2 linked regions of the Coturnix japonica genome follow. The protein of the gene in region 1 interacts with the protein of each later gene in a pairwise test. Links are inferred from orthologs where the notes say so. Each region holds a gene or a part of one and is shown on either strand. Other genes may lie near its edges. The genes, in order: MOCOS and PARVA.

Region 1 (4,576 bases):
TTCTCCAGAATAAACAATCCCAGCTCCCTCAGCTGCTCCTCATAAGACTTATGAGGCTATATGTCATCTTATGACAAAGTTATGATAGAACTAAGTACTTACAGCAAAGAACTAAGTATGTATTTGAGAGATGCAGACTTGGTCTCAGATGGTGTCTGTGGGATATTAAAGGAAGCTTTCAGGTGAGTGTGCTGGCAAAACTTCTCTGTATGGACAGATAATGCACAGCTGTTCCTGATGTAGTATCAGAAAACAATCACCAGCATTTTAGTAGCAGTTAAGCCCCATTTTCCATGTGAAAAACATGAAACAGGCCCCTTTTCTCCCCCAAAGAGAATTTTCAGATTTGCATGCAGCTCCTACAGTTTCCTGAATACACCTGTTTTTAAGCTAAACTGTTAATTACAATGAAGAATTTGCATTTGGGTTCTTTCATTTCCTTCCTCCTCCGTTTCTTTTGCTACCGCTCTGATAAGAATTGTCTTGATTGTTTTTCTGAATGTATTTTAAAATTCTGTGAACAGTGGTAGAAATAAAACCTGGCTTCACATGGATTTATATTTATATTTATAATAATAAATAATTTATTATTATAAATTTCTATTTATAATAATAATATTTATATTTAGTACTCCAACTTGCACTCTGTCACACACACCAGAAGGGAGCAGCATGCCTTGTGACCACGCCAAAACCTCATGTGTGCAGGTTGCCTAATGCCTTTCAGACAGAGCATGTAGTGCTCTGAGCACTGGGAAGTGCCTACTTTTTCTTCAGTGGGAGAATTGGCTACGGTTCCCCTCCTCTATCAAGCTCCTGATTCTTGTGACTCTTTCCTCACAGAACTAAACTGACAAGCGAGTTCAGGAACTAGATACAAAGAGAAAGAAGAATCCCTTTCTTTCCCTGCAGGGCCTTCAGTGCATTAATACTGAGGCTAGCAGTACAGGTGTGCTGAAGGCAGAAGTAGTAATTGTGAGGTACTGGTTTTGTCCACATTAAACTTGGTGAGTCTGAAATTTTAGGCTGCCTAACATGCAGGCCTCAGAGCAAAGAAGTTAATGTAATTTGGGATGCTTAAGTTGTTTATGTAATATGTGTTGTGAACATCATAATATCCAGACAAGGTCCCGAAAGAAGACATTCAGAAATGAGACACAACCTGTGTTGGTATACCTACCACATCCATGAATAGTCAAGGATGAACCTACTTTTAGCATTACAGAGATGCACTTCAGTGCCTCGGAGCAAGGCTTTCAGATATCTGATTGCCAATTCCACGCTACTGCTTTTGGCCAGCTGAGGTCCTGTATGTTGAGCGCATGGTGTCTGTTTCAAGTCAGCAGGACGGAGCAGTTATAAGATTTCAAACACGAAGCGTGAGCCTCATGCTGCTCAGCAGCAGCCAAAGTATTGGGGGGAAATAGGAAAAGATTGATGCTAAGGAAAAGAGTTTTCTATGAACTAAGTGAGGCTATCCCTATTGGCTCTGCTTAAAGCTGTGTGTTAAGGATCAGGGAGCAAACGACCCCACGCAGGCGCTGGCACTGCGGGCTATGGGGCTCCAAGCCCGGACAGGCGGGCCTGGGCCCGGGTGCTGCCCCGCGGGGGCGGGCGGCGGGAGGAGCCGGGCTGGGAGCAGCGCAGGCCGGAGTGCGGCCGGGTGGCTCGACTCGGCCGTCCGGACTAAGTTGAACGCTGTGTTGTGTCCTCCTCGCTTTTCTCCGCCTCAGCTCGCATCATGGCCGAGGAGCTGCTCTCCTTCCGGGCTTTTCAGAGCAGCTGCCCAGCCGGCTATGAGTACGGAAGCGAACTGCGCGGCCTCCGGGAGCGCGAGTTCCCACGGCTCCGAGGTACCGAGGGGGCGGGGCCGAGGGTTGAGCGGAAGGTTTGAAAAGAGAAAGGTTTGTTTCTTTGTTTTTAATTGAGAATGTGAGCTCAGATGGTAAAACAGCCCTGTCTGGGAACGGTTTGAGGCTGAAGGGTCTTTGTGAATGACTTCTGCAGGCTTTGTGGCTCTCCCATCACAAATGCCTGTGTGTGCATGCACCTGTTACTCCAAGTCAGGTGCAGTGAGTCTGCTAAGATAAATCATGTAAAGAGAGGTTTTGATGCCCACGATCTTAGCATTTCAAAACACTTAAGGAAAAATATAAAAAGAGAGGGGTAAATAACATCAGCGTGGGTGTCCTGGACTTGATGCTTAAGCTGGTCTTACTGTGAAGGGTTTCCCACGAATGCTTCTTTAAGGCATTTCATGGAGATCTTATGATAGAATCTGAGCACAGGTATCACACACAAGAGCTAAATTTTAGCAGCAACCTGATGAACTTCACTGTTAGCTAGGAGTCTATAAGCTGTTTTCAATTATCAGCAATGCTAGCTGCATCAGAGAAGGCTGGATGATGGGAAACTTGATGGCAAATTCAGGCCAGGATTCTGAAAAATAAGTGAGAAGTTATGTAGACATTTAAACAGATGGCTCATCAGAACTCCTGAAAGTCAGTCTTGTTTCTCATGAGACTCCTTGTTTTTGAGATGAAGCATAGCTGCTGGTGAGTGATGCCTGCTGGATGTGCCTGGTGCCCAGCTAGAGGTCACTGCAAAAGCAAAGAATTTAGAGCATATTTACCTTTGTTTATAAGTGTTTTAGCCAGTCTACCAAGCTGTACTTCAGTCGTGCTGCTTTCTGAAGTTCCTTTTACCTTTTGTAGAACTTTTGAATGTCTGCTTTTATTCTAAATACTATTTTTTGAGTCAAATATATATATATTTCAAGATTGTAATGTTTTGTTCAGAAGTTGTCCGTTCATCTTGAAAGCTCTTTGTATCAATCAGGAAGAACAGTGTCCTTAACTAATGACAATCAGTATGTATTGTCCTACCTGGTATTCCTGAGTTAAAAGTGGGGTCACCTTTCCTGTAGTCAAGAACTTGTGTCTTTACGAAATGGCAGTAACATGTAAGGTTAGATATCCCCTGTCTTATGTGTCTGTCTGTCCAGAGCTGATGAGTTTGATTTGCTAAAGGTCTTAACACCTTTGCTGTGGATGCCACCAAATGGCTTTTGAAGCTCTAGGTCTCTGTTGCCTTGCTGAAATAAGGTGGAGTTGGCTGATATACAGGTTAGCAGCAGTAGTAGTGAGTATAGGGGCCTTCTCTGAGTGACCTAAGAAATCAGTGCGTGTTTCAGGCACTTGGCTTCCTTCATTTTCAGTGACCTGCCAGAATGTGTTGGAGATGAGGCAGGAGTCTTGGATCGTTGCTGGCTTCAGGTCAGCTTTATGAATAAATCCTGACTGTACAAATGGCTGACTCTCAAAGGACCCTGTAGCTGCTCTGGGTCTTAATCTCTGCTGGACGCCTACCAAACTGCTGCAACACCTTCATACAGTTAATCCCTCCTGGTTAAGAGCATTACCAACCAGATACTGGTTTTAAGTAGTCAATTGCAGTGTCTTACACTGCTTGTTTGGGATGTGTATCAAAGATGGTTCCGTTGTTGAAGTTATATAATAATCATAATTCTGCTGCTGACTTCTGGGAACAGAAATTTTGTAGTCCTTGTCTAAGTGGCTGTGAATTAAGCCCAAAGTTCTGTATTTGAAGTGCTAGCGGTTTATAGACATATATATAGACATAGCAAAAAAGCCTAGTGCATGTCAGCATATTCATATTTTCTCAATTGCTGACATTTGGTGATGTTCACTGAGGACATCTTGTACAAATGGTGCTTTCTAGGGAAAGGAAAAACCTTCCTTTTGTGATACAGCTTTGACTTTATGGTGGTAATGCCTCTGTTGTAGCTCTAATATAAACCCAGCCCAAGAGTCTGCCCAGAGTAATATATAGTATATCTGTGCAGGGACACCAGCTGCTGGACATAGTGTGAAACCAGGCTTTTCTTTCAGAGGTGGTCCACTTGTGATGTTACCAAGATCCACGGGAGGTCTGTTCTTGACTGTATCAGAAGGCTCTTATAAACTGCGTTGGGGATTTTCCATTCAGAGTCCCTGAAGGGATGAAAGGAATGACTTGAATCAGCAGGGCTGTGTCTGTCTGTTTTGCTACAGAAGCCTTAAATGTTACCTTTTAATCCAAGGTTTATCTTCACGTTTATAATTGAGGGGCTGTTAGCTGTGGGCTTGAGCGAGCCCTTCTAAAAATATATGTGGAGTCTGCGAAACTGATCCCAGTTTTACAGGCAGCAGTGCATGTGCAGTACGTGACCTTGACTTTAATCTTGTGAAGAGCACACCCTTATCTGCAGTGTAAATTGTGCTTTAGAAATGGATAAAGAAATCAGCAGGAGTTTGTAGGTTCTGTTGTTAAGTAATGGGAATAAATATGCTTCTGTGATTTTTATCGTAGCAAAGAAAATAGCAGCTTCAGTTTATTGCATGTTTTCAAAAAAAGAATAAAAAGCTGACGTGATTTGTGGTGCAGTGTTTAGTCCCAAGATACCTTTCTAGTTTTAGTTTTGTGCCAATGTTCTCCTCAGAGATAATAGTGACCACTTCAGTGGGAGTTTTCCAAGAATGATAAGCAACTTATAGCCCCCAAATAAAAAACACAG
Region 2 (3,816 bases), on another chromosome or scaffold:
GTTTCTCACAGATGGCGAAGGGGTCATACTTGGAAGAATGAATTCAATCAAAGCTACGTATGTTGTTCCAAACCATGATGTGAAGGGCTAAAGATACCAGGGCTGCCCTGAAAGTAACGTATCCTATGCTATTACATCGACCCACAATGTCAGAGGTGGATGTTGGTGGGACAGCAGTAGAGGTTGAACCTTTCCACCAATATTCTGATACATGCTGTTGCCGTGTGACAGATGGCAGCAAAGGGGCACTCTGACAAAATGGTGCCTGGCACTGAAGGGGAAAAACCTTCACCCACTGACATTCAATGACACTTGTTGAATGCGTATGGAGACCAAAGAGCAGAAGTGAGCACAGTAAGGCGGTGGGTGGTGCGTTTCAGCAGTGGCCACCGAGGGTCACCTCCACTGGTGCAGACTTTTACAAGCGTAGCATGAAGGTTGTTATTTGTCACTGGTAAAAATGCACAGTTAACTGTTGGTGACTATGTTGAAAAACAGTACTGTTGCTGAGAATTTTCTCTGTCTGATAGTCTTATTGTGCTTTTTGTAACTGCTGTAGCTTCCATGAAAATAAATAGGAGGCATTACTTTTGGAGCAGCTTATGTATTAGGCACATGGCAAAATGACATTCATGGATAAAGGTTGAAAATAGACAAACCCACATTTCTTAATGAGATTATGCACAGTCATGAAATCACGGCCAAAAAGTTTTGTGATTCTTAATAAATCAGATAAAAAAATGCTTGCTACAAAATGAAAAAAAAAAAAAAAAAGCCAAAATCTACAGGAAAGGCATTTTGCCCCACAACATCACGTTCCACTTTCTAATACTGTTCGTATATAGCTCAGGAAGTTCCTTCTTTCATGCTGGAAGCAAGCTGCACAATGCTTTCATTTCCTAATACAGAACTTCAAATGAATGATCAGACACATCCACAAGTCTCTGCAAAATTACCAGATGATTCCATCACCAGAACAGAATTCCAGAGCAAGGTCCACAGCAAAAAGCAAAGCACTCTCAGAAAAAGAAGAGTTACTTCCATTGCTAATTGTATTTGACTGGTGTGTGTAACATTTTACTGGTTAAAATTTTCAAGAAGCGGAACTGAAGTTTGGCTTTGATTTACATGTCTCAAGAAGTAAGCTGAAAAGCTCAAAGTGCAAATGAATTTGTTATAGACTCAGTAGATTAATGTTCTGGCCATTTTTAAAAGTAAAAGGTCATGGAAAGCTTTATAATACTCTTTCAATTATATTGCAAACAAGCCAAATAAACTGTTGACCCCATAAAAATCATTGGTTTTCATACTCATTTATTTAGCCACATTCTTTTTTCCACTAAATATGTTTTTCATATTCTGAAGCACTTTTCAGCATTTTTTTTTCCCCCAAGAACCTCAAAGAAACAGTGTAGGAATTTAAAGACTATTTAGTCTATGCATTTGGGGTAAAATTCTTTTCAGTGCTCCTTTGCTCACTGGAAATTTTATGTATGGGCATTGTGCCCAATGTAACAACACATAAAACAGAAGTGTTTTTCCATTCACATAGGGCAGGAAGTTTCATATTAAGCATTTCAATAATTGCACAAGAAATGTCTTATATATGCTGAAATATCCTTATGGCTTGATTTATACTGGAAAAATTAGCTGTCCCCTGGAGCAATAAATACCCCCAAAATTAAATGCCGTAAGAATTTTAAACCTCCACAGGGAACAAGGGATCACAGATATTCTCTATTTTACTTGGGTCTCTAGATTTCACTCTTTTCCTCTTCTCTCTTTGACTGTTTCAAACACAGAAGTTTGTGACACAGTCACCACTGCTGCAGTTAAGCATGATTGTTAAGCAATCAAGAGAAGTGATGAAGTAGGTTGGATAGATGCAGATAAAATGCATAGGCAGCATAGGCTTAGTCCTGAGACATGACTCTGTGCACATGCCTGCTATTGGCACAATTTGGAGGTCAGGAGGAATGGAAAAAAAAGCAGAACAGAGCAGAAATTGATGCACTGTGTCAGAATCTCCAGTGTCCTTAATATATAAGAAGTCTAAGCATCAGTTTCTATCACTCCTGAGGAAATAATGATCCAATATTATGGTAGGAAAAGACTGCATCTTGAAAACACATACATTAATTATGGTGGTAGGTAACCTGCAGCACCCAGCTACCACCATTGGAAAGAGCTGCACAAGCTGCACATCCAGCTCCTCCATGGCAAGAACAACAGAAACCATACGAGTGCCTTATACCACATAGAATCAAGGGTCCTATATAAAGCCTGAAAAGCTGGATTTAAATCCTGTATTTATATAAGTGAAATGGAATCCTGGTCTTGCTAAGGTCAGCAACAAAACCTTCCCCTCCAGTCACCTGATGCATTAACATCACTCTAATGCATTAACATCTTAACCTTTATTTAGTTGTAGCAAAACCCTATGAGATCCAGATTTAACTCAGATTTTTTAAAGATGCGCAAAAAAAAAAAAAAAAAATAAATCAAATAGATACCTTCTGGTCTTGGCTTTGGTTTTTCCAGTCCACCATCTTGCATTAGCTCAAATGCAAAGGACACATTGAGGACCTAGTGATATGATACAGGTAGTTGTTATGATCTAGACAAAGCATACTAAAAAAGGTCAAAAGAAGATGCATTTAAAGCTGCAGATCTATAATCTGGGAAAAAAAAAAAAAAAAAATCAAGCCTCCATATATCAGTACAGACAATCCTTGATTTTGGTTTTTTTTTCTTTTTTTTTCCTGAGTGGTGACAGTGTTTCAGAAATACAAAAGTAATGGAAAAATAGCATGTGAACCGACATTACACATAGAAAAAACAGTCCCCAAGTTTACAAATCAGAACATGATGGCTTATGTGGTGCGCATCTTAGATAACTGAATTGCTGAGACAGCGACAGACATCAGTGGTCAGTCTTAAAATGATACACAGTACATATAAATCTTCATGCTTTCAAAAAATACAAAACTTTTGAAATGTCAAATTCTTTGACTTTGAGCTGAAAAAAATCAGTCCCGTCATCAATTTGTGTATAATTTTAATGAACACTGAGGCTGGCTCAGTGATAGCACCACGCAATGGTTGCCAAAATCAGTTAATATTTGCTAGATGCCCTATCATTAATGTAATTATCCCTTTTATTCTGAATAAGTATTAACACTGAGATTTAAAAAAAAGAATGCTTGGAAATGGTTACCAGTTCAGACCTGTTCTCTTTGGTTTTCAGCTACCAACACTGAACCCATACAGAAAAGTCAGCATCATCCCTAAAACAATTCCTATGTTTGCTAGGGAGGTTTTTGTTTTGTTTTGCTTTAAGAGAAAAAGGGAATCTCATTACCTTTTGTTCAAAACTATCAGGAGTCAAGAAAAAGCTGTGGAGAGGAACAAAATAGCCTTCTAGGAGACCCATTAGCAGGACTAAGTACACACCATCTGCAAACTGTAAAAAAGACATTTCTCAGTATGTTTTCTGAATACACGCACAGAATAAAGTTACTGCAGAAAGCAACGGTCAGTGACATTGATCTGCGTTTTTGTTTTCTCTTCTGTTAGTTGCAGGAAATCAGAACAACCAGTTTTCAAGCTATCAAACAGCATGCATTCTCTGAGCGGAGAAAAGCACAACCAAGGTGCAGCCTGATGACTACATTGAAATTCAGGATGTTGAAGGAAATAAAGGAATAAAGAATGATAATTTTCACGTTCTACATTTATCTCTATTTAAAAAATAACAGCATTCATGAGACTTCGTTCAAGGCATCTCACTCGTAACCCTATGGCATTGTCTACTAT

The links.
Region 2: the proteins of MOCOS (region 1) and PARVA interact in binary tests that used the Homo sapiens proteins (3 or more experiments, as listed by UniProt). The two-hybrid records come from large-scale screens. The link is inferred for Coturnix japonica from reciprocal best matches to the Homo sapiens genes MOCOS and PARVA.

What each region holds. Positions count from the first base shown.
Region 1 is NC_029517.1:46,080,196-46,084,771, forward strand, and holds the start of MOCOS (molybdenum cofactor sulfurase), read left to right. Parts: upstream 1-1,603; 5' UTR 1,604-1,741; coding exon 1,742-1,853; intron 1,854-4,576. UniProt on the Homo sapiens protein: Sulfurates the molybdenum cofactor. Sulfation of molybdenum is essential for xanthine dehydrogenase (XDH) and aldehyde oxidase (ADO) enzymes in which molybdenum cofactor is liganded by 1 oxygen and 1 sulfur atom in active form.
Region 2 is NC_029520.1:12,241,845-12,245,660, forward strand, and holds part of PARVA (alpha-parvin), read right to left. Parts: intron 3,464-3,816; coding exon 3,362-3,463; intron 2,587-3,361; coding exon 2,514-2,586; intron 1-2,513. UniProt on the Homo sapiens protein: Plays a role in sarcomere organization and in smooth muscle cell contraction. Required for normal development of the embryonic cardiovascular system, and for normal septation of the heart outflow tract.